2 linked regions of the Styela clava genome follow. The protein of the gene in region 1 purifies or fractionates together with the protein of each later gene. This does not show direct contact. Links are inferred from orthologs where the notes say so. Each region holds a gene or a part of one and is shown in the gene's direction. Other genes may lie near its edges.

Evidence for each region.
Region 2: the proteins of DNA polymerase delta catalytic subunit-like (region 1) and DNA polymerase delta subunit 3-like purify together in Homo sapiens (co-immunoprecipitation; 8 studies listed by BioGRID and IntAct, with this or other methods). This does not show direct contact. The link is inferred for Styela clava from reciprocal best matches to the Homo sapiens genes POLD1 and POLD3.

Annotation. Positions count from the first base shown.
Region 1 is NC_135250.1:14,614,926-14,631,339, reverse strand, and holds DNA polymerase delta catalytic subunit-like, read left to right. Parts: upstream 1-9,173; 5' UTR 9,174-9,492; coding exon 9,493-12,651; 3' UTR 12,652-13,003; downstream 13,004-16,414. UniProt on the Homo sapiens protein: As the catalytic component of the trimeric (Pol-delta3 complex) and tetrameric DNA polymerase delta complexes (Pol-delta4 complex), plays a crucial role in high fidelity genome replication, including in lagging strand synthesis, and repair.
Region 2 is NC_135257.1:21,466,296-21,482,860, forward strand, and holds DNA polymerase delta subunit 3-like, read left to right. Parts: upstream 1-8,928; 5' UTR 8,929-9,019; coding exon 9,020-9,082; intron 9,083-9,960; coding exon 9,961-11,412; 3' UTR 11,413-11,936; downstream 11,937-16,565. Other genes in the region: transmembrane protein 65-like, read right to left, coding at 1,505-1,559, 1,987-2,054, 4,781-4,822, 6,154-6,314, 6,844-7,172. UniProt on the Homo sapiens protein: Accessory component of both the DNA polymerase delta complex and the DNA polymerase zeta complex.

The DNA of each region.
Region 1 (16,414 bases):
AAGAGTGAGAGAAATGAAATTTCTTAAGAGTTATATTTCATGAGATTCTGTCTTGGAAATCACAAATAGTGCAGGTTATTAGTAAAACAAAAATAAACTTGGCAGTTGCTGCCAAAGTATCCCACTGTGTCAATCAACCAGCTTTACTGGCAATGTTTCAATCATTACTACTTAGCCATATCCGATATTGTTGCTCAGTCTGGCTCCATGGGAATAAAACACTTGTCTTAAAATTGCAGAGTATTTGTAATAATTTTTTAAGAATGGTATTCAGGAAAAGTAAACGTGAAAATGTAAACCACTACTATAAAACGCTAAATATACTCGAGGTTGAAGACATAATAAAAATTTAAAGTATTATCTTTAGTTTATGATTTTCACAACATTTCATTGTCAAACTGCTTTGACGACATACTAACCAAAACCACTTCCAATCGAAGAAGTAATTCCAATTTATTTATACCTTTTATGAGTAAATCTGTGAGCCAGCATGTCCTATGTTATAATGGACCTAAGCTATGGAATTTTCTCCCCTTGAATTTGAAGACATTAAAATCCAAAAAATCATTTCAGAAACAAGTCAAGTCCTACTTAGTATCCAAATATTGAAAGTTATTATTTCATACCCACACTCATATATATATACTCTTCCGTATCTAATTAGCTACAACGTTTTGATAGCTTGGACACAAAAAAATATCGAACCCCAAAAGAAAAACCATGACAGAAAGTGAAAGGACACTCTTCACTTGCACTACTTGTTTTCATGAAAATATTAAACAGCTACAATATTGCTACTGTACCTGCAGCTGCTGATGGTTGTTGAGCGGGCACTTAATCTCTCCCCACATGTTCTGCATCTAATGTTGGTGTGTCGGGTTATGCAGCATGCGTAGCATAATATTATTTTCGAATGGGGCTGTTCACATTCTGACATCTGCATGCGCATGTTCTCTTTTTGTTTAATGCTGGATTTTTGACATTACAGATACATGGTCTTTGTTTCGATTTGGGTGGTGTAATACCTTATGAGGGTTGTAGACGGTATAGTTTAGCTCCTGTACCTATTATTGTAATTAGGCCACCAGTCAAGATATATTGGATTCTCCCCTTCGTTTTAATTTGCTGTGGTATTCTATGATTTGTCTTGTGTGTATACAAAATTTTATCCTAGGTTAAGGTTCTGCTGTGAAGTTAACGTGAAGGCCAACATACGAATGGTTAGTGTGGTTTGGAAGTTTTTGTATGGTTTGCGAGAAATTTACCTTGTGTACCGAAAAGAATTCAACACAGGTCTTTCAACTAGCGTTTTGAAGATGAACAACCAATTGATCAATATTTACTAAAATAATAATTTTTTCTCAACAAAAGTGTAGGGTAGTGTTGTTTCTTAATATGTGTAGCGTACCGGCAGTCCATGAAATAATTATCCAAGTCTATGAAGTAATTATCCAGAATATCTTCCAATTTGGTCTGACGTCATGTTTCCTCTCAATAGAGAGAGAGAGAGAGATTTATTGTTTTGTCAACCGTAAACGAACAATGGTATACAAAATAATATATACAATATACACAAAGTTAATTCGGTATAGACTGGGGGGAGCGATACGACCATAAGGTCATCGGAGTCAGCTCCCCCCAAGTTCACTATTAGGATTCACAGTTAAATGTATATAAATAAGAAATAAAATAAAAAAGATACTCATTGGAGAGTTGACCAGAACTCTTACAGAATATTTTTGAGATTAGGCTATAAGATGGTTTGATCAATGGCATTTTCAGCTTTTAGGTCTGGGGTTTGACTCCTAGTAGGTCCATTTCATAACATTTTTTTGTTTTGCATGCAATGTAGGAGACTATCTAATAAATACAATACTTATGTATTAAGCTGGTTGAATATTGTTCGTCACATCAAAAATTTCTACTGAAAGATAGAAGCCAGAACATACCAGTGGATACGGTAACTGCCTGAGGCTTGAAATAAGCGATAATTGGAGTGATATACCGGTAACAGTTAATACATGTATGATTAGGGGAAGATCGAGGACCTTGAAAATTTATCATGAAGCAAATTCTCCAGTCCAGTCTCGGATGATTTCATACTTTGCCAAGATACATTAAATTCAATTGGGCTTCAAATGACAACATGTACAAATCACTTTGTTTGAAATATACATACAGAAAAACTTGGTGCGACAAATGGCAGAAAATTTTCACTATTAAGACATGCAACGGCAAGAACAATATGATACAAAGATGGAAAACTTGATAATGTGACTATTTGATTACAATATTATATTCATAGTGCTTATAATGAAATTGCTTATTATATCATTCTTTATAAATAGTACCTTACAGTTTGCTGAACAAATAATCACTATTAATAAATAAATAAATGCCCTTTATTTCAATCCAGAGTGTATCTGTTGGCATTTATTCCTAATCTAGTAAGGATGAAGGGTACACAGAGAGAAAGAAATGAATTAGATTTCGGAAGGCATACTAAAAAATGTACCTAATTACATGGAGTTCGTGATGTCCAGCGAACTGAATATTCGAAATCGGATCAAAAACGATTCGAATTGTTTTCGGCCAATATTATCTACATAAAGCGGAAATATCCTCACGACCCGATATTTCTCTAGCCTTCATATTGCGATGAAAAAGGGTGTCTCTCCTAATGCCGAGGGTATATATCATGCGTAGTCATGACTGACAAGTTATTATTGGCAGTATATGTTTAGAGAGAGTACATAAGGGAAAAAGAGCAATTTAGTATCCATAGAAAAACGATAGTTCCATCAATGCAAATCAATTCGAACATTTCAAGTCAGTAATCGGGAAGCACACATTGTGGAGGTTTTATGATGGCAATACTTAGTATTAACCATCTATTAACAAGACAAATAACTGCACTCTTGCATTCTGATGGCTGGTACAGTAACAATAGGTTCATCTAGGGATATTATCATCATCAAACTAGCTACATTTTTGAAATTTTTGGGCAACAGTTTTATTTATATTAATGTTTATTAAAAAATTGCACAAATTCAGACTAGTGATAACAGGGTTAAAAGAGTATATACAGGCCACACATGCCCTATTGAAACTGAATATATAAGAATTGAGTAAATAAGGTATTGGGAGTCTCTGTAATTTTCAACTTTCAACACTCATATTTTAGGGAGGCATGTGATTTCCATACTCCATTGATAACTCTGGAAACATAGTTATACAAAATATCATCAGTATCATTTTAAATGTAACAGCATAATACGTTATTACAATATCGAAATAGGATTTTTGGAGGATATTCGTTTCGACAAATTATACGATTCGAATCAAACAATTATTCGATTTTGGACAGCCTCATGGAGTAAAAATAAATAAATAAAAATAAATTAAAAATCTAATGAAACATTTGATATTGCAAATATCAATCCTAGACAGAGTATGGCTAGGTCATTTTAGAGAAAATTGGACATTCAAGAAGATTTCAATCTTGTTATTTTCAACATGTAAATATAATAATGTAGCTATGCAAGCAATGCAATAATCGAATGATGTATAAAATCTGATTGAATAATTTTGGAGTAAACTTTTCGAATAAATCTCATTTATAGAAATGCAATTTTAAAGAGAAACAGTACAACAGTCAATAAACATTTAAGATAATTTTACAAAAGATTGTAAACATATAAGTCTATAGGAAAACAAAAATAATTAAAGTAAGCATCGTATTTAAGTCTTGGCATAGTAAATAATATATTAAAGTCGGTACTACACATTGCAGGGCATACAGATGCTGAAGTCATCAATAGTTTAAGGTATTGACTATTGATCCAAGGTTACGATTAATCATAGGGATGTTAGAACTGCTCCTGTTACTATTGGCTCAGTCCTACAAAAAGTTTTGAAATACGCAGTGTCAATACTAGCAGCATATGCAGACACATTACCAATCAAATAGATTAATGGATGATGATCGAATAAAACAGCATTTCAGAATATGATATATTAAAAGCATGGTGTTTGGGGTTGCACACAGTGTAATTGTAATTATAATATGAATATATATGAACAAAATGCATTGATTCATAGATTAAATTTAAGGTTAGGACATAGTGATATCATGACAAATGCACACTATAGGAAATAGTACACAAAGCATATGATTTCAGTTGACCACGTTGCAGAATCATCCTATTTTTGGCAGAAGTAAAGTGAATACGGTAAAGATATAGATATATACATGTATAGCTCAGATATAATTCTACTAATGGTTTGTAAAGATTGGGAGAAGCAGACCAAACACAAGAACAATAGTAAATATATTTGTTCCTGGATCTTGAAATAATGTATAGTGAAAAATAAGTTGATCTAGATGTTATACTGTACACGGTGTAAAAAGTAGGGTCATGAATAAATAGTTTAACCTTGGTCAAAAAATGTGAATGCACAAAATGGGGGTGAAATTGTTATTATTGAAAATGACTTTCAGGAAACTTAATTATAGAATATGCAATGTTAACACAAACAGTATAAGCAGATACATAGTATTCCTAATCACATAAATTCAGGATTGCACACAGTATACAATTATGATTACAATTATGATGAACACTGTTCATTGAAATGTTTACATTTCAAGGTTAGAGCTTTATGGCCATTTTAACAAATGCAAGCTATAGGTAATTATCAGTTGTAGGTAATACTACATCATGTTTTGCCAATAGTTAAAGAAAATAAAATGAAAAAACAAATAGTTATGCAAGCACATGTAAATTACAGGATTTAATACCAAAAAGACATGGTAATCAATAAAAACAGTTATATAAACTCCCTACCATATAAGTCCAAGATCAACCAATCAAATCCAACGGTGTGTGGGACAGCATACAAGCGGTTGGTTGGATGATTAGGGTATTAACTTTTGGGGAACTTTATGACGCAGTTATTAATAAATGTCTGATATTAATATTTATCGATGAGATGTTTCATATATTTATACTTAAAACTATTGTATGATGATTCTTTGATATTGTCAGGAATACTGTTCCAAATACATGGACCAGTGAATTTTATGGATCTCTGAGCCAAATTTGAGCTTGTTCTATTAACAAAATAGGCTCCTCTACCAGCCGACCGAGTATTATGTCCATGGATATCACTAGAGTTTGTGAAGTAGTTTTCAAATGCATCCGGCAAAATACCCCATTTAGATCGAAACATAAATTTCGCAACTTCAAATTTATATACATCCGCAAGTTTGAGAATACTCATCTGTCTGTATATAGGATCTAAGCTTTCACGCATACGTGCGCCACTCATTAATCTTAGGGCACGATTTTGAAGTACACAAATCCTATTGAGATAAGTTTTACAAGCAGAGCCCCATGCCACAATTCCATATTGTAAATGGGAATAGAAGAGTGAAAAATACACAGTTTTTAAAACTTTTTTTGGTACAAATTTTTTTAATTTAGTCATGGCCCCAATTGCCCTTGAAAGCCGACCAGCTAGTTGGTTGATATGTGCTTGCCAATCAAGTTTTTTATCCAGGATGACTCCAAGGTATTTTACACAATCATGGTTAGTCAATTCAAAATCGTTTAGAGTGAACTTAGGGTTGTAATTGGAATTTTTAAGCTTTTTGAAACAATTAATTAGTAAGACTTGCGTCTTGTTGGGATTAACGGTGAGTTTGTTGTGAGTGAGCCAATCAGAAATATTATGAAGTTCAACATTAACTTTTAGTTCCAAGTCGGACAGATTCCTTGTAGCAGAGGTGGAACTGGTGTCATCCGCAAAAAGTTTGATCGAAGCATTAGTGGCATGGACAATATCATTGATATGGAGCAAAAAAAGGGTCGGGCCGAGTACAGATCCCTGGGGAACTCCTACAGTCACATTTGCTTTCAGTGATTCAGTACCAGATATGTTCACAAATTGACTTCTATTTTCCAAATAGCTAGCAAACAACTTGTTTACAACACCGCGAATTTCATAATGACTTAATTTACGAATTAAAATTTTGTTTCACTTCAATTTATGTTATTTTGTTCTATTTATTAATTATCCTCCAATGAAACGGTTAATACAACCAAACACCCCAAAGAAACGGAAAGCACACATCAAAAACAACAATACCAGGCAGTAAAATGTAAGAAAGCAATATACACCATAAAAACACTAAACTAGCTACTTACAATTTGCAAAATAGGCTGAAAATAACTTATGACAGGCATTTTAAAAGACTATATACAATTCTATGTGTGCACAACATTTGAACAGTACAGATGATAGCTAATACCATGACAAAAATGAAACAACAACACTAAATGAACTGCAATGGCACTACACGCAAACAGCAACAGGGTCCCAACATTAGCTCTCCGTCCAGCACAAAAACATCCAACCAACCCTAATCCAACAGTCACAAAACCACAAACAAACATCCCCGATAACCCACCGGATATCAGAGGCACTTCCACAGACACAAAACACCCAAAATCCAGCCACACTCAGACAACTGCACCCTGCCAACCACAGCACACGCTAACAGGCCACATCCAGAAGACTGATCGACAGTGTCACATCGCCCCCAGTGTCTTCAATGCCAATGCCAATTCTTCCTATACTTTACCATTGCAAAATTTTCGGGGCTATTTTAAGAGTGCTTTTGCGAGTTGGCGCCTGTAAAATGGGGTATGTGTTACAAACCATCATTATGATTCATGGCATACAACAATCTTTTTTTTAAAAGTACCGGTAAAAAATTTCAGGCTAGTCTATCACAGCTATTTCTACACTAATTTTTATTAGTGCAATCAAATTAAAACTCCTAGGAAGACAGAGTGATCATTGAATTATTTGATTTATATTTAAGTTTCCGAGACACAACTGAAAATTAACGAATAGAGTTCAAAAACGCGAAAACGAGGTAATGTTTACAACCACACTTGAAAATCTGTCTGAGTGAGAAAAGTGTCTGAGCGGATGCGAAAAGGGGGCATTGTTACGTCACTTTTTGCATCTTGCTGATTAGCCAATGTCACGAAGTAAACAAGGAAAACGATGCTCGGGGAAAGGTATACCATACTTATATATCTTTGATATGACATTCGGTACAATTCTTCAAACGTTCGGGTGAAATTTTTCTGGCAAAGGCGGGAAATCCTTGGAATTTGTATTACAGCATTCTGGATCTGGCACTGGGCAAAGTGACTATAACACTTTGGCACTGGGGAAAGAAGCGAACGCAGTTTTTCATTCAGTCATTGCATGTGCTATATCTGATATCGTTACGTACCAGTAACGTATCTTTCAACCGGGGCCTTACTACTGTACCTGCGTAATGTACCGGTACCGCCAAACGCAGCAAACTGCACGAAGCAGAAGAATACGTTCCTGCTGTCCTGGGAACAGTGCAAAGGCGAGTGGAAGTGGTGACTCTTCTACGGCCCATGGGCCGGAACCACGGCCCATCGAAATGGGCCTCGGCCCATCAAGTTGTGTAAAGGGACAAAATAATAAAGACTAATAAATATGGGGTCTGGTATAGTTTAGTACCACATGTACTTCTAGTTGACCTGGCTCAACAATTTTTGCATATGTCAATCCTAACCCCCACCTGACCACGTCACCGAAAAATTACATCATTTCGACGTCACAGTGGCGTAATAAGGCCCACCGAAGTATGCGGATGCTCGTCCAAAACGCACAGACGATCACCCGAAATCGAGCAAGCAATTTCTCTCGTTTTCTCGTCACAACGATCACTATAGGAGAGAGATCGCCGGCTTTAGCAAGTTCGTTATCAGCGGCGCAGATGTCATTTCGGGCGATCGTAATTATACTTTGGCAATCCCCATGGCGTGATGGTGACGTCGTAGTGACGTAATTTTTGGATGGCATAGTCAGGTGGGGGTTAGGAATAGCATATGCAAAATTCGTTATGCTACGCCCACCGGAAGTACTTGTCGTACTAAATTATACTAGACCCTAAATATGTAAATCCTACCCACTCCCCGAACTTATAATAGAACTACATTGTGAAAAATCTGAACAAAATTTTGTCCTAACCCTAACCTGGTACACATACTTCAGGTGTATCTTTTTCTGTAGCTTGGTATTTTGCTTTATTTTTATGTAAAGGCTTATCGTAAGAAAAGGTTTGGTGGCATCCCACGATTTTTTTTGGTTTGAATATTGACAATTTTATAAAAATTGAAAATTTTGGTGAGATAATGGATTTTTTTCTGATGGGCGCGGCCCATAGCTTGATGGGCCAGGGCCCATGTGGCCCAATTAGATGGGCCGTGGCCCCGGCCCATGGGCCTTAGAAGAGTCACCACCCCTGTAACGACAGGCAGACAGGAAACAGCACGAAACATACGGTAAAACAGTAAAAAGCTTAATATGTAATGTTTTTCAATTATATCTGTATATACAGATATATGTGTACCGTATGTTAGTACAGTCTGATAGTACTGTAGGGATACGATAAGGGTACTGTAAATACTGATATATGTATAACGTATATTGATGTAAAGATGTATCATGATTTAATTCCCCTAAATCCAGTACAGCACGCTATCCAAATTCCAAGAATTCCCCTCCATTTGGCTCAATAAAACAAACACTCTATGTGTCTCACAAACGAGGGGCGTCTGGGACCACGTCAGATGCTTCATATCGCGCCATGATTGTCTTAATAATAATCTAAATTAATCGCGGCTGTCACGTCCCCAAAATTGCCGTTTTTTGCTAAGAACTCTCAAATGCCACAGTAAAAAAAATTTTTCTTTGGTAAATCGGATTATTTTTTCCCAAGGAATTCAATGATGACGTTATTAGATTGCGCTTTTCTATAGTATTTTGCGCAACTCCATTATACTGTATTATTACCGATATTGAGGAACAACAGTGTCCATCAGTCCATAGAATCAAATCTTGGAATCCTGACTTTATAATCCAACCCAGAGAGTTACTCAATCAAGTAGAATTTATTTTGATTCCTTCTGTTCTAAAATATTATCAAGGTATTGCCATAATAATATGTAATTAGGACTGGGCAAAATATTCGTATAGCGAATCGAATATTAAATTATTCGAATGGCATTTTACTATTTGAATATCCAGTACCACTTTGCTTGGACACGGAACTCGCGCCTCTCGAAATCGATCGTGAATCGCGCCAGAATTCACCTACAACGCTCGATTGTTGAAATGTCTTGTCTGAAAGTTACTATGTACTTGAAAATTTTAATAACAAAATCTAAAATTTTACTCTTTTTCTGTATCGGTGGAGCCTCTCAAACTGTTTTTCAATGTCAGAATGTCTTGTTATAATTATAAATTATGGTATATGCTTTTATTCTCGTGTTAGTCTTCAGCTTTTTAAATATATGTATTTTATGGGTTTAAACTTGCCACTTTGTTTGTAGAATGACAAAATTATTCTAAAGGTAATTTAATTTTTACACAGTTATGGATAAGAGAAAGCCAAACAATGATGGTAGCTCTACCTCCAATGGCAAAAAGATCAAGATGTCAGACATTGCCACACAGAACAACTGGGGAAGACCAACATTACCAACAATAGATCCAAACACTTACAACATACAAATTCAACAATTGGACTTAGATACATATTTGTCCCAAGAGCCTGTGGCGGGTATATATGATATTCCATATGGATGTGCTCCAGTGGTTCGCATGTACGGCATAACTGAAAATGAACACTCTGTATTATGTCATGTACATGGGTTTCTGCCATATTTTTATATTCAAGCCATGAAAGGTTTCAACCCAAATGACTGTGACGAATTCTGTGAATGTCTCAACGATGTTGTTTTACGTGACATGAAAGGAAATAAAGAAGTCAAAGTGGCTGTAGCAAAAGTTGAATACTGCATGAAGCAAAATATGTATGGTTATAACAGCCTGGGAAAAGTCCCATTTCTCAAAGTCACAGTTGCAGTTCCACGACTTGTTGCCACCACACGAAGGATTCTGAGAGAAGGTTTCAAAACTAAAAAATACCCAACTCACAATTATCAATCATTTGAGAGCAATATTGATTTTGAAATTCGTTTTATGGTTGATACAAAAGTGGTTGGTTGCAATTGGGTAGAAATTCCAGCAGGAAAGTATAAGGTGCGATCTGGATCAAACTGTGTTTCACAGGCTCAACTTGAAGTTGATATAAAATGGACAGATCTCATCAGTCATGAACCGGAAGGCGAATGGCAAAAAATTGGGCCATTGAGGGTGCTGAGTTTTGACATTGAATGTGCAGGTAGAAAAGGCATTTTCCCAGAGCCTGAAATTGATCCTGTCATTCAAATTGCTTCAATGGTGAAACGAGAAGGAGAAAAAGAACCGTTCGTTAGAACAATATTCACTTTGAAGAGCTGTGCTTCTATTGTTGGCTCACAGGTTTTTTCCTTTGACTCAGAATCTGAACTGTTACTGGCATGGGTGAATTTTTTGAAAGAGGTTGATCCCGATATCATCACTGGTTATAACATAGAAAACTTTGATCTTCCATACCTGATCAACCGTTCGCAAGCACTGAAAGTAAAGGAGTTTGCCTATTTTGGACGAATAAAAAATGTTCAATCAAAAGTGAGGGAAACAAGATTCCAGTCAAAGCAAATGGGAAGCAGAGAAACAAAACATGTCAATATTGAAGGCAGAGTGCAGTTTGATGTATTTGTCGCTCTTTTGCGAGAACAAAAGTTGCGTTCTTATAGTTTAAATGCAGTGAGTTTTCATTTTCTTGGTGAACAAAAGGAAGATGTCCACCATTCCATCATAACAGAGTTGCAGGAGGGAAATGAACAAACAAGAAGACGACTAGCTGTATATTGCTTAAAGGATGCTTTACTTCCTTTACGTCTTCTTGATAAACTGATGCTTATCATTAATTATATTGAAATGTCCAGGGTGACTGGGGTGCCAATGACATATCTGCTTACTAGAGGTCAAAGTATCAAGGTTATGTCACAATTGTTGCGAAAGACATCGGTGGAGGATTTGTTAATGCCAGTAATGGAGAGCAGTGGAAGTGACGAGCAGTATACAGGTGCCACTGTTATAGAGCCTGTTAAAGGTTACTATAATATTCCTATAACAACTCTCGATTTCTCCTCGTTGTACCCCTCAATTATGCAGGCTCACAATTTGTGCTACACCACTTTGTTGAAAAACAGTAAGGAAAAGGAGAAATTGCAGCCAGAAGATTACATCACTACTCCTACGGGTGATACATTTGTGAAAGCATCTGTTAGAAAAGGATTGCTCCCAAAAATCTTGGATAGTTTGCTCACAGCCCGTCGTAAAGCTAAGGCTGACATGAAAGTGGAAACAGATCCATTTAAACGAAGTGTGCTGGATGGTCGTCAATTAGCCTTGAAAATTAGCTGTAATTCGGTGTATGGTTTTACAGGTGCTCAGGTTGGAAAGTTGCCATGTTTAGAGATATCAAGCAGTGTCACCGGCTTTGGTCGAATGATGATTGATCAGACAAAACATCATGTTGAGAAGAAATATACAATTGATAATGGTTATTTTGCCAATGCTTCAGTTGTGTATGGAGACACAGATTCAGTAATGATTAAATTTGGGGTAAAAACTGTTGCAGAAAGCATGGAACTGGGCCGTGAAGCTGCTGGATTTGTCTCTGATCAGTTTCCTTACCCAATTAAACTGGAATTTGAAAAGGTGTATTTTCCATATCTATTGATTAACAAAAAAAGATATGCAGGATTGTACTTCTCTACTAGTGCTGAAGTTCATGATAAAATGGATTGCAAAGGTATTGAAACCGTTCGTCGGGATAATGCGCCTCTCACTGCCAATCTGATCAACAGTTGCCTGCAGAAGCTTTTGATAGATAGAGACCCTGATTCTGCAGTTGCATTTGCAAAACAAACCATTTCTGATTTGTTGTGCAATAGAATCGATATTTCTCAGCTAATCATAACAAAAGAGTTGACAAAAACAAAAGAACAATATGCTGCAAAACAGGCTCATGTTGAACTAGCTGAACGAATGCGTAAACGAGATGCTGGCAGTGCACCGCAACTAGGTGATAGAGTTCCTTACGTTATCATCTGCGGTGCCAAGGGTCAAGCGGCATACTTAAAATCAGAAGATCCCATTTATGTGCTCGAAAATAACATCCCTATCGATACAGAGCATTACTTGAAACATCAATTATCTCAACCCCTCCTTCGTATCTTTGAGCCTGTTTTGGGTGAAGGAAAAGCGGAGTCAGTTTTGTTAAAGGGAGATCACACTCGTGTGCGCAAAGTTGTTACCTCAAAAGTTGGTGGCTTGATGGCTTTTGCCAAAAAGCGAGAGACTTGCATTGGATGCAAATCGTTGCTCAAACACTCTGGTGCTGTTTGTGATCACTGCGAAGAACGGGAATCTGAGATCTACCAAAAGGAAATTCTAAAATTGTCATCTTTTGAAGAAAAATATTCCAGACTGTGGACTCAATGTCAGCGTTGTCAAGGTTCACTTCATGAAGAGGTTTTGTGCACAAGCAGGGATTGCCCAATATTTTACATGAGAAAAAAAATTCAAATGAATTTGGAATCTCAACGAAAAGTGGTAATGCGATTTGGTGATTGGTAAATTCTGTTTTATCATGATATATTCCAAGATTTATGTTACACAATTTTTGCGTAAATCATGATTCATGATATCATTGTTGACGTGTTAAATGTAACAGGAAAACTGACTTTTTGAATATTAAAGTGTAACATTGATTTTCTTTAATACAATTCCTTTGGTCGCTGGGTCAGTTTTGCCGGATTTCTTGTAATATAGAAAATTTGATGTAATGTGGGAATAATGACATTAATAGTTTTTTTTCTGTTTTTTGGGGGGTTTGCTTACGTCTTCATAGACAGTTGACATAAGCAGGTTTAATTAATATCTGCTATAATGAGTGTATTGTTGAAAAATAAAAAATTGTGATATCATTTCCATTTATCATGTTAAGGAGTAAAATTTAGACAGATAAATACGCCTTGGAGGGGGTTTGGGTGAAAGGTTAAAAGCTGCTCTAGGGCTATTTTGAACCTTTTGTTAATAGTAAGTTTTATCTGAACATCTGTGAATTAGAGATATATCGGCCAGATTTTCGGTATCAGCTAAATTTAGACCGATATTTACGATATATTTAGCTTCTCAGTATGATCCAGATTTCTTTTAAAATAGGTTAGAATACTGATCTTGAAATTATTTTTGTTTGGATGAATGGTGAACTAAGAACCGTGCACGTCCCCACCCCCGCTAGTAGAAACGGGAATCGGATTTTGACTTGTTTTTAGCCACTTATCAGCCAAACTGGCTCAAATCAATTTGAGTAATTTCGCTGCCAAATTTTTAGATTAAAATTTTTAATATTACATGGTAATAATAAAAAAATTTATCAATCGAATATTAGTGGATGTTCCGATGTGTAAAATATAAAATACGGCGTTATATTGGCACAAAATCCTGCGCACGTAACACAACGTATGAGTTTCATACGATAAGTAGGCTAAACATATATTTATTTTACCATCAACGGTAGTCAAATCCTATTAGTTTTTTAATTGAACATCGAGATTACCAGCGACAGTGCTCAATGCATCTGAAACGCATTTCGATCTCAAACATCTACTTCTTAACACATATATATATACATATATGTGTGTGATATTTCTCTTTTTTGATCCGAAATAATGCTCAAAGACTCTTATTTTAAACCGTCTGTCCTGTACACTTGAGGTAATAATTACATAGTATCGGTTGTTTTCGAATCGGCATCGGCGACAAAAGTGGTATCGGTACATCTCTACTGTGAATAGTCTCTGTTGTCCCAGACAAAGAACAACCCTGACATGATGACATTTTTGTATTCTGGTGTTCTTGTTTGTGGTCAGATCCATATTTAAATACGTTTTTCCTGGTACAAGCAATTCGTGTACTGGACTTCAAAGTGGCAATACATGATCTCTGTTGCACCAGGACAAATGAGGCTTGAAATAGAACCGAAATACGGTACTCTAGCTCAGGACTACTCAACTTGCGGTCCGAATCTTAGACCTTTCGAGTGCTAAATTTGGACCGCAGCTACTTCTTGACTTTGAACGCATTGTTTCTTTTTATTTCACAATCGTTATGTAATGCATTTTTCGCTAAACGACTATGAAAAACCGTCATTGTAATAAAAGTTTCTCAGAGCATCGACTCACTTTTGTGATTGATCAAGAAGATATTAATTCCGGCGCAACTACTGCCATGAAGTTTTAGTGACTTCTTGTATACATTTTTCGCAAATTCTTAGACATGGCAGTGAACGTTAGCTTGTTTTTGTAGCTTATAAATATTCCATGTATATATTTCACACGCTCGGCTTCACAACTGAAGCCTTACGGACACCGAAGCGTGATATTAAGCCTTGCTATTGTGTTTTGTCAAACTATGCATTTGTAATTTTGTTCCATAGCTAAAAAAATATTCTTGGAACGACCGGACCCCGGTAATTTTTAAATTTTGTATACAGACCTTTGATGAAAATAGTTGAGTAGCCATGCTCTAGCTATTTAGAAAATGTTAGAATGTTCGCATTTATATTAGGTGTGAAATTTCGACCCCGGAAAGATCCACACTGCGTTCAGTTGCCCAAAAGTATTGTTAGGCTCCGAGCTCCATCGGCCACAGCGATAATATTCCTCAGTTAAATGGAGTGGAATTTGGTTGTTCCATTATTATGTATCGACGAAACTGGTGGTAAAACTAAAATGCGTAACCTTAGAATGAAACCTTGTTTTCAAGCTGCCAGATCGCCAAGAATATTGGTATTTTTGTGACATAGTAACCGCCTTGCTTATATAAAATGTCAGATTTTATCTTACTTACTTATCAATAATTACTTATCAATGTGTAAAATGTTGACAAAAGCTAACCCGAACGTACGGAATATCGTGGTTTTTCGGCTCGGCGGAGTGGCGCATCGTTCTAAGCGTTAGGAATACGCTTGCCACCGCATCTCTGATTATTTGCGTGGGTTCGCAGGTTCGAATCCCATGCGGGGATGATTATGTGTGAGAGGATTGCTGGACTCCTCGCCGCCGTAGGGTAGCTCACATAACCGCTGGTCGGTAATGGCTTCCTCCACCATCAAGTCCATGCTTCCGAAAACGAATAACTGGCTAACTAATCCTATACCCGACCTGGACTGGTAACCGGCCGTGGTTCGCTATATGATTAAGCCATATTATCGGATTTCCTCTCCCCCGGGATAAATATGTAAATCCTATCCTAAGTGTGCAATGTTACTACCTGGAAAATATTTAGCGATGGGGGACAGTTTGGTGAAGTCGATGCCTAAAGTGCGACATTTATTAAAACGATATAATTATGTTTTCTTTATGTATTGATTGCATATGTGCGTGTCGGATCGGTACCGCTGGTCAAATTATGCAAATATGATGACCAAAGCCAGAAGACCAGCCAGAGAAGTCGTGTTTTTCGATACGTGATCATCAACGCGCGACATGATCGTACGTAGCCTACGTACTATTTCCTTTATCAATACCTTTTCATCTGAAATCTGTACGTTTCAAACCATACTGGAGGTTTTGTTTGCTTTCCCGATTCTATAATCAGTTTTATTTATTTTGTTTTTATTATTATTTTGTTTGTTTTATCAATTACTTTATCGTCTATGCTGAATATGGAGTCGAAATATACTTATGATCCGCGTGCGGTTAAGTAGAATCTGTTTAAAATTAAGTGCGATTGCAAACCATTTTCACCAATCCAATCTGTTTGCCACTTTCATTAGACCAGCGTTTCCCAACCTTTATTGGCCGCGGACTATTTTTTCACCATGGAAAATCTTCGCGGACTCAAGATGCGTTAATTGTGTAACCGAACTCTGCATGAAGAAGCTATAGAACCAAAAACAACAGAATTTTAACGAAGTCAGTTTATTATCCACAATTACAAATTTAAATGGGAATCATAGCGTGCTCCAGTGGCGGCGCGTGGTCATTTTGACAACCGGGGCAAGCTACTGCGGGACCAAGTCACCCCCATCTACGGGGACAGGATGAGCGCTGTAAGTTCTCCCATCATTTTATGAGTATAAAAACCATTCCATCGGTAACAACCAATCGGCAAAAGCGACAATTTTTAACGATAAGAAAGTGTCTTTAAAACCGGTCCAAGTCAAGGGATTAATAAATATAGACATAGTTTATTTTGAAACCTTTTTCAAAAGGAAAGATACAATGACATATTAACAGAAACTTCGGGAAAGCAGACAAAACCTAAAATAAGGTTTAAAACGTTACTATGAAGAAAGGAAAGGTAATGCAAAGATAAGGACATGCGTCGCTCA
Region 2 (16,565 bases), on another chromosome or scaffold:
TTTGATATGCCCATGTGCACCACCTCGTACATCTGTCAGAAGCTGGACAAGCAGTACAGCAAACAGAACATCTAACCCTAACCTGGTGCACACACTACGGGGGTAACTAAAAACCTGTGGCACGAGCCATGACTGCCCTAGATATGCCACTGAATGCATATCACATTGCATATGGTGTTGCTCAACATTTTTGTCTAGGCTTGTGAAAATAATTTGAGCGAATTTACACAGGAAAACAAGCTTGGTTTGATCCAATATATGTTAACACAAATCTTGGAACCAGAAGAATTCTGTGCAGAGGTTTTAGGGAGTAGGCTACATATCCAATATTATATTGTCAATAATACTTGATAAGATATTAAAAATTATTAGTTTGTCTTGTCAATCAATCAATCATTTATTCGTCGTCACAAAAACATCAAATGCACAAAAAATTGGTACAATAAATAAATATAATAATAATGTTATTTGTGCGACAGTCGCGAGGGACCTTGTTAGGTCTTCAAGCAGCGACACCTAAAGCGCTGTTACTGGTTCAGTGTAAAAAAATAACTACATTTGCTACAAACATTGACTATGCAATAGTCGTTATGATAAACGAATCATTGAAAAAATTCGCAGCAAACGCAACTTTACTAAAATCATATAATAGAGAAAAAAAAAGAAAAACAACTCAAGTATAAATTTATAAAAAAGGCATATTTGGATAAATGTATATAAGTTACATAAAAGACAAACGACAAGCGAGGGGAAAATGGTTACACCAAAGACAAAATTGTAAGTGATTAATTGAATAGAAGTTGGTAAGCTTTAATAAATCATAAAACGTTGATATGTATATATATTTATATACAATACGCTCCACAGCAAGTGGGCATAAAATTTACGAAAGAATGGTAGGCATATGCTTGCTCAAGAAATTGAAATATAACGAATTTGGGCATTTTAGTGTAGAGGTTGCACCAAGGTTGGTAAAGTTAAAGTACCGGGTACTTTAGAAATAGACTCCTTACACCTATAGTTCCTCCGGCTTTTTGGGCAGCCATGGCGACAGTCTACAAATGCGACTACTGGGCTATGGACAGAAGATGGCGAATCATACTGAATACTCCAATCAATGGCTGATGGAAGAGAGATAATAACTAATATATTTACTTTTTAGATATAATTTAAAACCGTAATAGCCTAAAGATTTAATGGTAGGCTACTTGGTAAGGCATTCCACAGTTTCACACCAGTGTATTTTATGGATTTCTGTTCTGTGTCTTGTGATAGTGAAGCAGGCATTTTATCTAACCACAATAATATAAAAGCATGTTTTTTCGAAGCGAGGTTACACACACACACTCACACACAACTTGAAATAATGAAATCATAAGAAAAGATCTTAATGTGGAGGGGAAAGTAAGAAAGTATTTTGCCAGGCACAGAAAATTTCTCATCTGAGATTTTTTGGACACATTATGGATCCACTTTACAATAATTATAAATCATCCATCCCCACCTGCCATTGTAGAAATCCCTAAGGTAACGCCAATAGTCAGGTCAATGTATTCCCCCTGGAAAACAAAGAAAGTTAATTCAGTGAAGAATCCAATTATTTTAACAAAAAAGTGTCTCATGGGAGTGAACTAAAGTGAGAATGGTCGTAACTGGATTAAGGCGGTTTTAACAGAATTAATTGGTCTGAATAGATCAACAATTAACTGACTAAAAGATGTTTCTAGTAATTCAGCGCCGTATGATTTTTTCTGATGAATTATTTTTGTTCAAACAATAAAATTACTTATTGCCAACAGGAAAAATAGCTTTCAAGCATTTGAAATCTTGGAACTTTGCATTTGAAAATTTGATAATCTCAAGGTTTATTTCAAATCAAATATCTATGAATTCACAATATCTTTGCTGAACACGAACTAATTAAAAAGATATTTGACAAAACTGGCTCAATTAGGCCCCTCGAACCAACAAAACAAAATAAATTACCGCCAGTATCATGATTGCATTATCGAGAAATCCAAAACCAATAAACGGGATACAGTTGTGAACGAAAACTGAAACACAAGAATTTACGGCTGATTATTGGGGTGACTCATCTAGCAGTGGACATGACATGATAGTCTCATAATAAGGGTGTTGGCCCTAACTACTTTGTACTCCCGTAGCATGTGAACTATGATGGCGGACACCGGTACCTAGTATGTGTACCAGGTTAGGGTTAGGCCATAATTTCATGTACATATACTATGAGAGTCACCTGGCTAGTCCCCGAACTCGTAATAGAACTAAAATAAGGAAAATTGGAATGAAATTATAGCCTAACCCTAACCTGGCACACATACTACGTTTCGGTGTCCGCCATCTTGGTTCACATACTTCAGGAGAGCCAACTATTTTGACTAATTTTGTTCTATGTGTTATTGATTAAAATATAGACGCCATGTCCTACTGGTTTACAGGGTTTATCCAAATATTCTAACGACCCTTGATATTTTGGATTTTTAATTTCTGAATGCAATATAGTCAAGTTATAGTGGCTTCGTGTGAAAGTTAGAGAATCATAGAAATCAGTGATTGCTCAATTTATTAACAGTGGGAAAACATAATTTGAAATCTTATTGATGACAGATGAGTATCGCCCTGTTAGTTCAGAATCTCTTTATTCAAAGCCATAGGCCGTTTTTGTATTTTCTCTCTAATTACAAAGACCCATTTAATCTGGCTTATGTCACGCAGAGTTTGGGCACAGACACACTTGCATTATAAATAATAAATGAGCGCGGCTTTGCAAATTGCATTGAGAGGTTCATGGTTGCTGTATAGTGTTGTTTAATAAGTTAAGTGAATGTGAGATCATGTTTCTCACAAAAAATCAATCAATATTTCATCCAATTGTGTTCAGAATTTTTTTTAAATTCCCGAATAACGTGGTCCACGCAGTGTTTTTCAAATTTTTCGTGTCAAGGTCTCAGAGGATGCTAATAAATACCTACGCTGGCCAGCAGATTATTGAACTGCAATTAGGGAAACAAGCACATGATGTGCAATTTATAATTTCTATGACTTCATCGAAGTGAAAACCAATTCCAACAAGCACAAAGTTTTGAGAAAAATAAAGTTTTCTTTATTGTGGCATGCTAATAAAGTCAAAGTTTGTGTGATGACACATTGATTTTCTATTAATATGAAGATGGAGTCAGAGATAAAATCATTTTTTATACATTTTTAAACGGCTGCAAATTTTCCAGACAGCATAGCCCTGGATTTAATCCAGCAAATGGAAATCACAACACAATGTTCATTGGTGCCTAAAGAACATTATATGAGATATATCTTCTACATTTATTTGCTGACAAAAGTTGACTCATTTGGGCAATAATATTGGCACAAAATTATAAAAAGTAAATTCCACTAAGTGTGAATATTTTATTCCATCATCTCGCAATAATTTCCTCGTGCTACATATACATTTATATTGACAGAAACACCCAAAACCAGGACGCAAAGAAGTGTTCATTGAAGCATGACGACAGCAATATTCATTGAAGTGTAACAATTATTCTGCAAGACATATCTTGCGCATTTATTTGACAATAGTTGATTTAAGCGCATAAATATGAACATGACAGGGCATGAATAATTAATGTCATGCATAATGGGAAAGTAGTTTTTGAATGAATTTCAGAATATATGAATTTCTAATTGAAATTGATATAAGCTCTCAAGGGTCAAGCATATTAGAGGTGGGCTAATTGCGGCCATGGGATGGAAGCGGCACACCAAAGTGTTTCATCACTTCACTTGTGTCTGCTGAAATTACGACTATAGTTTTCATGGATTTAAATTCCCGTATCTACGAAAATAACGTCATAATGACCCTGATTGTTACATTGTGCTTCTTATTATTTTATAAACGTTAGCCTAGCTGTTGTAAATAAACTGTTTTTATTGATAGTTTTTAATATAGAGTTTTGAGCCAACGGCCCAGTAACTATGTCTGTTATGTATAACTGGCCCATCCCTGATCTATGATGCTTTCAACCCTCAAACTAGGCAAGTGCTCGCCAAAAAATGTAGAGCTTTAGAGATCGAATGACAAGAAAACTTAACGTCCCGACTAAGCTCATGCTATATTTAGCCAGGCACAATATAAAGCAGTGGTTCTTAAAATTGATTGACCCAAAATTAGAAGCGAAAGGATATTCGCGGGCCGAATAAAGAGCACACACCCTCAAACTGCGATAATGACATAACAATTGGCGGTATTTGGTATGTAAAATCATTTCACGAGGCCCACGGAACGCGGTTTGGGAACCACTGCTATAAGATATCATTTTCATCCCAAGGGAGAGGAAAGTCGATAAGACGTCTTACTCATACGCCAACCTTTATTCAGAAATCAAAAGCTGTAGTCAACAATCTTCAGGACTAGCAGTAGTCATAACAGTTGTTATTGCATTAAGACAGACCACATCATGCATAATTTATGGTGTGGCATCTAACTAATGGCCTATTTGTGATGCCACAACATTGAACTAATGCAATTGGATCATCCTAATGGAATGGGACATAATGGACTTTTGTGAAGAACAGGATAAAAATCGAGGGTTTGAATCCCATAAAGGTGGGCCATTTCATCTTAGTGCAATAAACAGGTGAACGAAAAATTTTGAAACATTATTAAACATGAATTTTTATAAATCCGAAGTCCGAAATTTTTGTTTTTTTCAGCTTTTCTCGAGTCTCTAAAAGACACACATGTAAAGGTAAAATTACTCACCAAGATATAACTGTCGCTTGGTGATCTGTCCTGAGTCCTCACCTGGAAATAATATATACATTTACACTTTATAGCATCAAGCTTAAAATCACAAATTGAAAGTCAAATATAGGTTTCCCTAATTCTGCCTTCTTGGAAATGGGAGACGTTCCTTCCCAATCAAGCATTTTATTGTTTGCACTGTATTACGTTTCAGAATTACGGGTTCCCTACGTAATAGAAATAAAATGTGACTTCATCAACTTTACATTACCAGGAAATTTTTTTTAATATATGAACATTTAATCATGGAAATAATATAATTAGGCATTCAAGGAATTATATGGATAAACCTAATGATATCCAATGAATTCTACAGCTAAGTGTGAAAGCTAGCAAGACTTTTATTTTTGATGATTTCAGAGAGAAAAAAGAATAAAGCAGTAAAAATCTTTTCGATTGTTTCTTTATACAGAAATTTTCTTCAAGGTAATGTGAATGCAGTAAGACTACATAAAACTACATGGAATTAATGTGGTCCAATACACACACTCACTCAGAATTAAAAGAGACTCATGGTCAGTGAAATGCTGTGAACTATTGAAACTATATAGAATTATGGTGATTAATTAAACATTAGTAAATACTGATTTGGTGGAGTATACTTAGAAGAAAAGCTCTTGAAAGCCATTCAGACGTAAAAGAGACAGAGTTAAACATATGTTTCCTTATTGTCAGAATACTGTATGGCACCCTTGGCATTTCAGGGATGACCCATGTGCCCTTTATAAAAAATTCCAAGATAGGCAGAGTTAGTTGGTAGATCCTACATCACCAGCATCCATTGCTATGCAAAGCTTAAAATATTCAATTCTTAAAGTTGAGTCAAATGCTTCCTATGATGTGCTATGACCCTATCATCAGAATAACCATCAGGCTCAACTCATTTGCCTTTTGATTCGTTGCTCAGAGATGAGCATATTCTTCATAAAGTTCAAAACCCCATAGAAAATAGAAGAGTGAATTCCTACATGCTACATCAAGGCTTCCCAAACTGGGGGTCGTGACCCTGCAGATGGGGGGCAACGAATTATAAAGGTCGCAAAGAGTACACCAATCTCACACAAAGTGCTTTATCTCTTGTACTTTTTTAGACTTTCGAATCGAAACACAACTAGAGCAAAACATAAATCTCACAATTTCGAGATAATACATTGGAGAAGCGGCACGCTTGCATGGAAATACCGACTTAACAGGAGTCGCGGAAATTTTTTCAATATGGAAGGGGTCTCGAGCTTAAAACTTTGGGAAGCCCTGTGCTACATCACCAGCCACCGTGCAGAGCTCAAAATGTTTTAAATATTAATAAAACATTTACTAAGCTAGAAGCTCACCATGCTGTTCAGAGTTAGTATTTATACCAATAGAAGATTCTAAAGCAGCGAGTAAAAACCGGCGTTCCTCTTCTTTAAGATGGGACACGAACGTTTCAGCGTTCTCTGGTGATCGAATGTATTGCTTCAAAGTATAGTATAGCTTCGTTCGACTTGAATGTCTAAAAAGTGGATGAATTCCTTAAACTGAAAATTAGGATAAAATTTTTTACCCCAGGAGAAAAGCCGATAAAAAAGGCTTAATCATATGACGAACCACGGCCTCTCTTGGTTGAGGAAGCTGAAACCGACCAGTGGTTGCCTATATCACTCTGCGACAGGAAGAGTCCAGCAAGTCTGAAAAAATGAACTGATTTTGATACTCCCAATTTAGACAAGATGCCACGATTTGTCGTATGATTGAACCCTCAAATTGGCATTCCTTTTCCAAGATAAATAGGAATAGACGCTAACAATAATAGACGCTAACAATGCTCCCCAGCGAAATGACAAAAAAAGTGTATCCATTATGTTTTCTCACCTATAACCTAAGCGAGATACTTTCTGTCTCATGTTTTGAAATAATTTTTCAAAATTCAAAAATATTTTATATCTTGATCCTGTGTGTAGTCATTTTTTGTGCCATACCAGAGTTCAAAATAAATTATCTTATCTTATCTAAGTTTTTAACTATTGAATATATTATCTCACCCTTTTTCTGCATAGTATTGAGCTTTTTTGCTTGATCGTTTTGAAGAGGCATCCCTTCTTTGTGAGGTAATAATTGATGGAAATCGGCTCTTAACATCAGTGGAAAAGCAACATAAGAATGAAGTCCTTTGTGCATAGTTTTCAAAAAGTTTTTGAGAAAAATATGAAGTTTGTGTTCTTCTTTTTTGAATAAAATTTAAATCAGTTCTGGTTGGCAAGTTACATTTCATGTGATAGTTTGAAATACATCCCAGTGTGGAAGTATTATGATGTAACACTCTTGAGGTTTGCAGCATGTTACCCACTCTTTGGCAAATATTCCAGTTCATCTCAAATGCAGACGCTCCAAAACGTTTTTGAAGCTTGCAGGTTTTATATCCTCGTTATTGCAGTTTTAACAGCTTCTAACTGTTTCCACTGCTATAAAACACTTAATTCAGAAGAATGGAAATAAAGAAACAATATTGAAAGGCTGATGAATTATCTATGATGAATTTGAACTGACTTGAGTAATCAACAACTTCAATTATATTTCCTAGTCTAAAATCCATGACTTTCAATAAGGAAACCTTGCTTGAACCTTTAGGAAGCTAGACTATATATTCTCATAACATATTTTCTACTACCTGGCGCGGCGGTGTGGCTCAGCGGGCTAAGCGTTAGGAATACGCTCGCCACCGCACCTCTTATTACTCTGCGTGGGTTCGCAGGTTCGAATCCCATGCAGGGATGATTATGTGCGAGAGGATTGCTGGACTCCTCGCCGTCGTTGAGTGGTTCACGTCACCGCTGGTCGGTTACGGCTTCCTCGACCACCAAGTCCATGCTTCCGAAAACAAACAATATAACTAATCCCATACCCGACTTGGAATGGTGACCGGACGAGAGGCCGTGGTTCGCCATATGGATAAGCCGTCTTATCGGCTTTCCTCTCCCCCGGGATAAATATGTAAATCCTATCCTACCTACAGTACCATACTGCCGTAGTTCATTTTAATTAAAATTAATTATAAGTTACTGATTATAATATTTGATAAAATCCTGGACTCTAATTTGCCTATATTTTGGCTTTTGTGAGTGAAGTGGTCTAGCCCCCCCCCCCCCCCCTCCATCAATTTAACTTCCGATTGGACGATTTGGCATCAGCCTAATGCCATTACCATTAAGAGACTCTAACTATACTCAGATTAGCGTTATCTTTTTAGAAATACGAAAAATAACAAATTTGGTTTTTGCAGATTTCCTGCATTTATATCCCTTATAAATTCGCGGCCTTCCAACTGCCTCCATCCGTTAAAAGCAAGGAATGAAAGGATTGTAAATTCAAAGACTAAAACTCTGATACGGACGGAAACTACCGACGAATACAGGAAGACGAAGGAGAGGAAAACCATTTTTTTTAAGATTCGCAGAAGAATAAACATTTGCTCATTTTTACCCCTGCAATATGGTGCGATTGCTCCCTAGCGCAAGCTTGCGATAACATTTTATAAAACTAATACCGACGAACGTTGGTTAATTAAAACGGTTACAACGTGAGGTATACTTAAGTTTAAGCTTAACTCGATGTAGATCTTACGCTTCATGTAAGAACTGACGAGGATTATGCGGGGTAAAGTAGCCATAAACATTATTTTTTCCGAGCATTCCGTGTTCACTGTCACATTTCTTCGGTGAACAAGCCTTTCGAGAACACAAGTAAAACCGCTGTATTCAGGCGAAAAATGAGGGTAGAAATCACGATATAGATGCAACGGTTAAATTAATTTATCATAACACGGAATACCGTGTGGCAATTCGATATAAGTTTAATTAAAATGAAAAGAACATTTTGTTCACTTTTACCCTGCAATTTACCATATTAGCTCTATATCGCCATCTCCCGAATCTAAAACTTGAATGATTTATTAAAAATGGAAGACGACCAAAACAAAATTGAATATACATTTTTATATTAAAATAATAAGTTGATTAATATTTTAAATTAAATCAAGCTTTCATTACTACAAAACGTTTCAAACCTATCTTGTGACAATTTTATTACGCATGACCAACGCGTCAATCATTAATTTTCGCGCTGTTTCCTAATTCTACATTTTAATAATACCGGTATTGCACTTTGCAGTTCAACAAAATTTTGCCCTGTAATTTTTGTTTATATGTTATTTCTTGAAGTATGGATGAGTTGGATGCATTTCTGGCGACTGTGGACGAATTCGTAGATGACGAAAATCGAATCGTAAGTTTGGGGTTTTTGTTTTTCCAATTTACTTTTCATGTTTCCTGTCTCTGCAGCTCTGGGACACAGAGATCAGGAGATGAAATTTTACATATTTGAGGATAACAGGGCTTGATTATATTGCAAGCCAGGTCTCTCATCTCCTTATTCAGTCAAGTCCGAGTAGGTGAAAAGTTATCATATGCATTTAGTAGTTCAGTAGACAGGCCTTGCTGTCTTGGTAATGACAGAAAATAGAAATATTGTGGCTAAATCGAAAATCTTGTGCATAGAAAGGTTGAACGAAGTATCATATATCCAAGGTCAGAAGGTTTTTTGGGTCTCGTGTAGTTTCGTACCTAACGTACTTCTAGTGGGCGTAGCATAACAATTTTTTGATATGTCAATCCTAGCCCTCGTCTGATTAAGCCATCCAAAGATTAAATCACTACGACATCACAATGACGTCATAGAGCTTGCCAAATATACGCACGATGGACCGAAATGGCATTGGCGCCGACGATAAAGAACTGACTGACGTTATCGGTCTCTCTCCTATAGGAATCGTTTCAACGAGAAAATGAGAGAAATAACTGTTCGATTTCGGGTGCTCATTTGTACGTCTTGGATGGCAGTTCGTATAGTTTGAAGGGCTGTATTACGTCACTGTGACGTAATTTTTGGATGGTGTAGTCAGGTGGGGGATAGTATTGATACGTGAAAAAAATCGTCATGCTAAGCCCACTAGAAGTATGTTAGGTAAGAAACTACATTAGACCCGGTTTTTTAACCTTATTATTTCATTTACTCCTTTGCAAATTTTAAAAATGGGAATTTTCCTCAAATTTCAATATTTTCAATTCCATACCTATTCAACAACTATTCTTTTTCCCTTCCAGGTCACTTATAAATGGCTGAGCGAACAACTCGCTATTCCAACCAACAAAGCAAAAAGTCTTCTTCAGAATTACGCTGACTCATGCAAGAAACAAAACAATGGAATTCACATTGTTTATGCAATAATAGGACATGACTCAGCTGGAATAAGTGTAAAGGTCGTTCGAGATGTCGATCTTGACTCAGCGAAATCAAAAATGGATAAAGTTTATAGTGTTTCGTTATATAGCGTGCAAAAAATGAAACTTCAACACAGTGCTGTGCTGTATTCCACTGATTATGACACTCATCGTAAAAATCTGAGCGGAATTTCGAAATTTGGGGGTATAACGTACAACGGTGCAAAGTGCTTATCAAAGAATGAAGTTAAACAACAAAAACAAACACCAGGTGGTGCTAAAGAGATTTCTGCGGATCTTCAAAAACAATTTGCGAAACCAGCATTTGAAAAAGGGAAACCTGTGCAGCAGAAAGTCAATTTTTTTACAAAAACGAAAACATCACCCCCACAAAAGAAAGTTAAAGAGGAAATAGCATCGAAAAGCGACGCTGAACCCCAAAAATTGAACTCTAATAAAAAACCTGATCCCCCATTGGAAAAGGGGCAGAAAAAGGGCGTGGCTGCGTTTTTAACAAAAAATAAAACCGATCCGTTTGCAAAAAGTAAGACTGTAAAACCGGTGATAAAAGAAGAACAGAAAACAGTGTCCGATAAGAGTGAAAAACAGCCTTCAAAAAGGGACAGTACAACTGAAAAGTCACCTCAAAAAGATAAGACAAAAGAATCATTGAAAACAGAGAAAAAAAATAAAAAATCGTCATCGAAACGTTCAGTTGAAGAAGATGACCTAAGAATTGATGATTTTTCGGATGACGAGGATGATTTTATTGAAACTGATAAAAAATCTGTAAAAAGTTTGAAAAAAGTCGCTGATAAATCAACAAAACCTAAACCTGTTGAAAAACCGAAGCCGAATAAAAACAAAAAAAATTCGCGGCATGATTCGAACGAGCTTCCAGCGAAGAAACGACGCAGAATTCAGGAAATGTTATCTTCTAGTAGTGAGGATGAAAACGAAGATGAAAATTACGAGGAAGAGATGGGAATTCCCCCTCCTTCACCCCCACCTGTGATTGAACCCGAACCTGTGAAAGAAAAATTTGTTGAAGAAGTCAAAACTAATAAACGGAGGGAAAAAGTCATGAAAAGTCGAACATTTGTTGATGAAGAAGGGTGTATGGTAACACAAAAGTATTATGAATTTGAAGAATGCGATGATGCAGAACCTGTTGCTAATGGTAACAATGATCAAGCGGAACAAAACCACAAAAACAATACTGCAAATGGTGACACAGAAGCAAAAACGAAAAAATTTCCAGCGATATCTACTGCAGCTCAACCAAAAAAACAACAGAAACAAGCATCAATTATGGGGTTTTTCAAGAAAAAATAACTCTTTATTCAAATTTTGTCATAAATAGTGGGAAATATTTATAGCATTGTACATGCTACATGCACTGCTTTTTCAAGAACTTAAAACTTGAACGGGAGGCTGTGCAACTTGAGATGGGTTAATTAGTGCTGTCCAAAATAGAATCTTTTTTTGCCTCATTTTACCGATTTGCGAATTAGCCGCAAAACAATTTGAATAATTTGCGATTAGATTTCGAATATTCTGTTCGCTTAGACATCCCTAGTTATAATATAAGATAATACAAGATGACTAAACAAACAGAACCCAAGGTCATTTGTAACATGGAGAGAATATAACTTTTGTGCCAAGCGTCCTTGATTACGGAAACTCATTGGGGACAATCATACACAAACAGAAGTTCAAGTGTTCCATAAATTTCGTTGAAGTAACTAATAATTTTATGGGTCCTGTTTTTTTTTGAGAGAGATTAAGAGCGACTTAGTATCAGATAATGGATTTTTCTATGAAGCTGTTTTACATTAAACGATGACATCCTTTAAAAACCATGTGACTATGTGTGGCCTCGGAACAACAAGGAAAGCCTTGCAATAGGGGTAGAAGAGCGCAAATGCAGTCAATTGGTCTTCAAAGTTGTTGTTTTGCAATGGTGCCGCCATTCCTGCAATCTGTTTCTGAGCAGCATTCCATGACAATAATTTGGTACTCCCATAGTATGTGTACCAGGTTGAGGTTAGGTCATGGTTTTTTTTCTTACTTTTAGTTCTATTACGAGTTAAGGGATTGTCTGTGTTAGCCAAGTGAATAGGTTTTAATTACCTCCATATTGGTACACCTACTTCTGGAGCGCCAATAATTCTATGAAGTTTCTGTACCTTTTGTTGTTTCAGTCATTTTTTTAACAGTACAAGTGGCTCTGATATCCGAGAGGCTACATAGCCATCGCTACCACGATTTAGTATTTTGAAAATTTCAAGGTCTGACTGGATTTTATTTTTAGAAGAAAGCACCCTGCCAGCCCAGATGATAAGTTTCTTCTGATATGCCTGTCATTTGTGTGGGTAACATCAAAATTAGGGTTTCCCAAACTGGGGTTTCGTGATGAATGTGAGGGGGTCCGCAACGATATTACGAGTCTGATCGGACCAATATGATGACAGTAGAGTCGGACCTTAGAGTTTGCTTGTCACAAATTGCTCCGAGAGTTGAAAATTGTATGTAGTATGCGAACCAAGATGGCGGACATCGAAACGTAACAGGTTAGGGTTAGGCGATAATTTTTTTCCAATTTTCCTTATTTTAGTCCTATTATTAGTTCGAAGACTAGCCAAGAGCCTCCCGTTGTATTTATACCTAAAATTATGGTCTAACCCTAACCTAGTATACATTACATTCCGATGTCCGCCATTTTGGTTTGCATACTTCGGGAGCCTCGTTTCTTCTGATATGCCTGTCAGGGTCTGCAACGAGGTTCCATTACATTTGAACCCACGTACATTTGAACCCATGACAATTTGCACCTATGGAATTTTTTTTGTGTCACGGATAGTTAAACCCATACTAACCCTAACCCATGGGTTTTGGCACCCGCATATGGATTGAACCCGTGGATATACGCATGGGTTCAAATGTACGTGGGTTTTCCGTGATGAATGTACAAGGGGTCTGCAACGATATTAAGAGTCTGATTGGACCAATATGAAGACAGTAGAGTCGCCCCTTCGAGTTTGCTTGTCACAAATCGCTCCTAGAGTTAAAAATTGTGCAGTGAAAAGCAAATGTTGTTTGTTGTATTAAACATTATCCTTCCTTGTTGGTTAGGCCCAGAAATTGATATGGCATAGCATGCGAGTCCGGTCAAAACTAAGATTCACAAATAGGGGAACCACGACCCGGAAGGTTTGGGAAACCCTGATGTAAATCAATTCCAATAGGATACTTTTTCTTAAAATCCTGGGGGAGGGAAAGTTTATTACATAACTGGATTGGGTGCTCCCGAAGTATGCGAACCAAGATGGCGGACATCGCAATGTAATATGTGTACTAGGTTAGGGTTAGGCCATAATATTAGGTATAAATACTACTGGAGGCTCTTGTCTAGTCTTCGAACTGATAATAGGACTAAAATAAGGAAAATTGGAAAAAAATTATCGTCTAACCCTAACCTGTTACGTTCCGATGTCCGCCATCTTGGTTCGCATACTTCGGGAGCCCCCTGGATTGTATGGCAAAAACCAGTCCATTATAGTTGATTTGTGGACTTTGGTGAAGGAATCTAAAACTAACCAGCAGTTAGGTTAACCATCCTACAACAAGTAATTCCTAATTATTTCTTACCTAATCGGCACCTGCTAACTTGCATAGAATAATAAGTGGTAATTTTTGTTTCTAATGGTTATCACAGCCCACTGACAAATCTGAAATTCTCTCAAATTACAATAAATTTAGGATGACACCAATTTACGGCACGGCTCTCAACAATTTATAATACGAGTTCTTGTTCCTTTAAAATAAAATAGAAACGCTTTGATTGAAAAGTTTATTTCGAAAAAATGATTGCTGTTACAGAAAAACAAACTAATTGCAAAAGATTTAAAATTGATTAATTAAAAACATTCAGAGCGAGTACGAAGAAATATTGAATAAAATACAGTATACTAAATATGTCTAGCAAAATTTCACCAGCAAAAAAGCTTTACTTTGTTAGCTATTTTGTCAGAGTAGAATTTCATCAGCACCATCTAACGCAGGGATGGGCAACTTCTCTAGTCGGCGGGCCAGATGTGAAAAAAAAAAGCCCTCGGCGGGCCGGATTACTACAAAAAATACTTCGGTATCCAATCTTCGTTAAATGCTCGACACTCTCTGTCAACTTTACGTTTCTTGGGATATTCCGTGGTGAATAAAACTTGATATAAAATCTAATTTCTGAAATCTATTTATATTTAGATTCTAAACATAACTGATAACAGTAGTGGGGAATGTTTACAACGCTCTCTGCTTTGACCTTATATTGTTTGTTTAACAAGTGTGCTAACGCAATTGTTTGTTCACTAAGGCAATTGTTTATTTCACCAGCTCGCACTGACAGTGCGGTGAGAGTAGAGCGATCGGCAACTTTCAGGAATGATGCGTCGGACCACATTACAGAGTGTGGTTGGATACAGTCAGCGGGCCAGTCAAAATCTCGTCGCGGGTCGTATGTTGCCCAACCTTGATCTTATGTGTGCCGAGCCCTTTAGCAGTGATTCCCAACCGGGGACCCGTGAAGGGGGCCAAAGGGCAGTTGAAGGAAGGCCACAAAACTGATTTTACTTTTCCCCTTGACAAGAAAAAATTCTATTCTTGATAAGGTTATTTCACAGGAGTGTTTTCACTTTGTTGAGCAAGAATTGTTTGAACATAATAGGATTTGATCAAAATAACACTATGAATACCACTGGAATGAGAAACGGAAGGTCACAAGCACAAAAAGGTTGGTAATCACTACCTCATTGTTTATCATTTGTCTGACAATCCAATCAGGGGGTGTGCAAACTGTGGCCCACAAGAAAGAATTGTTAGGCCAGCGAAACAAGTTTTTAATTTATTCAAATCGGTTTGTGCGAGTAATTCCAATCCCGTTACGTTGCAAAGAGTCGAATTTATTATCTATGACGATATAACGCCCTACCAGCTAGCTTATGCGAAGTGAACAATGCATGTCATAGGATCAATAACCAAAATGTTAACCAAAACTACAAGAAAGCCTTTGTTAAATGAAGGCGCGACCCGTGGTTTTGCCAGCTAATGGATCTGGTCCTCCTATGGTAAAGGTCGCACACTCCTGGTTTAGAGCAGGTGTGCAAAACTCAAATGAGGATATGTACCAAATTTTTCAAAATAATCTTGTCGTGTGCCACGCATAATCGTTGGTATTGTAAACGAACTCCCGTAAAACACACATTAACAAATTTAAACGAGAATACCGGTTGGAAACCGAAGACTTATCGATCGATAGTTAGGGGATCCCCCAAAACAGAAACTGCAGTTTCGATTCATCCGCTCTTGTAACTTGCGCACTGCGCAACGCACACACACACTCGGCGGGTTTCAAAATTCTCTCGCTTGACAAAAATCTAGATCACTATATCAATAATTGATTGATAACTCGCTAATTATACGACATAATTCGCCCAAAATCAATAGGCTTCTGATCCGAGATAAGATGAATGCACATGCAAAATCTGGAGCAGATTCAATCTCGCTTTTGTGAGATATCGCGTGCATCTAACAGACACACACACAGACAGACATACAGACAAATGCCTATCAATGTACTTACCGATCTTAAGATCTTGTTTCTTACCGATCTTAAGATCGATAAGTAATAATAAACATGATAACGAATATCTATTTATTGAAACAATTTATTGTCGTGAATGATTTGTGATTTGAATACGTTTTTGCGATCAAAGTGCAAAGTCAATATAATCGAGTGATACGGTAGTCGCTTTGGTGTTGTGCACCTCTGGTTTAGAGCATCCCTAATAGATAGTACTAAGTACCTAAAATGGCAGGCATTAAAAATAAAATAGATGTCACATCTTTCAAATATGGCAATAAAACAGCAGAAGCATTCACGATTATTAAAACGTTCAATCCAATAAAAAAATGACAGCGGTATATTGATATGACGCGAGTTTCAAAGTGAGTACTTTCTATTAAATGGGATGAGCACCAAATTAAATGAGGTAATTAAAAATAAAATCCTAAAACTTGTAATAATTCAGTTCGATAAAATCGAAGCACGGCAGATATACAATATGGTGCCATTGAGTTTATTGAAATTTCACCTTTCCAGTGAAATCGCCACAATCTAGTTTCTGCAAAATCGCGTATTACTAATCACCATGGGACATATAGTAATCAGTACATCAGTAATTATAAAAATACCTAACTCTGTAAAGTAATACAGACTAATTGCACAAAGGTATTTGAAAACAGGCGCGCAGCCAGAATTTTTTTTAAAAAAAGGGGGGGGGTGCGGAGGTTTTAAAATCCTAAATTTCCATTCCCTTAAATTCGACTTTTCAGGGCATGAAGACTTTTCTGCCGCGTAAAATGTTCAATACATGACAACTATGAGAAATCATCGTGATTCAGTTCCCAGCGCAAAATGGCACATCAGTAAT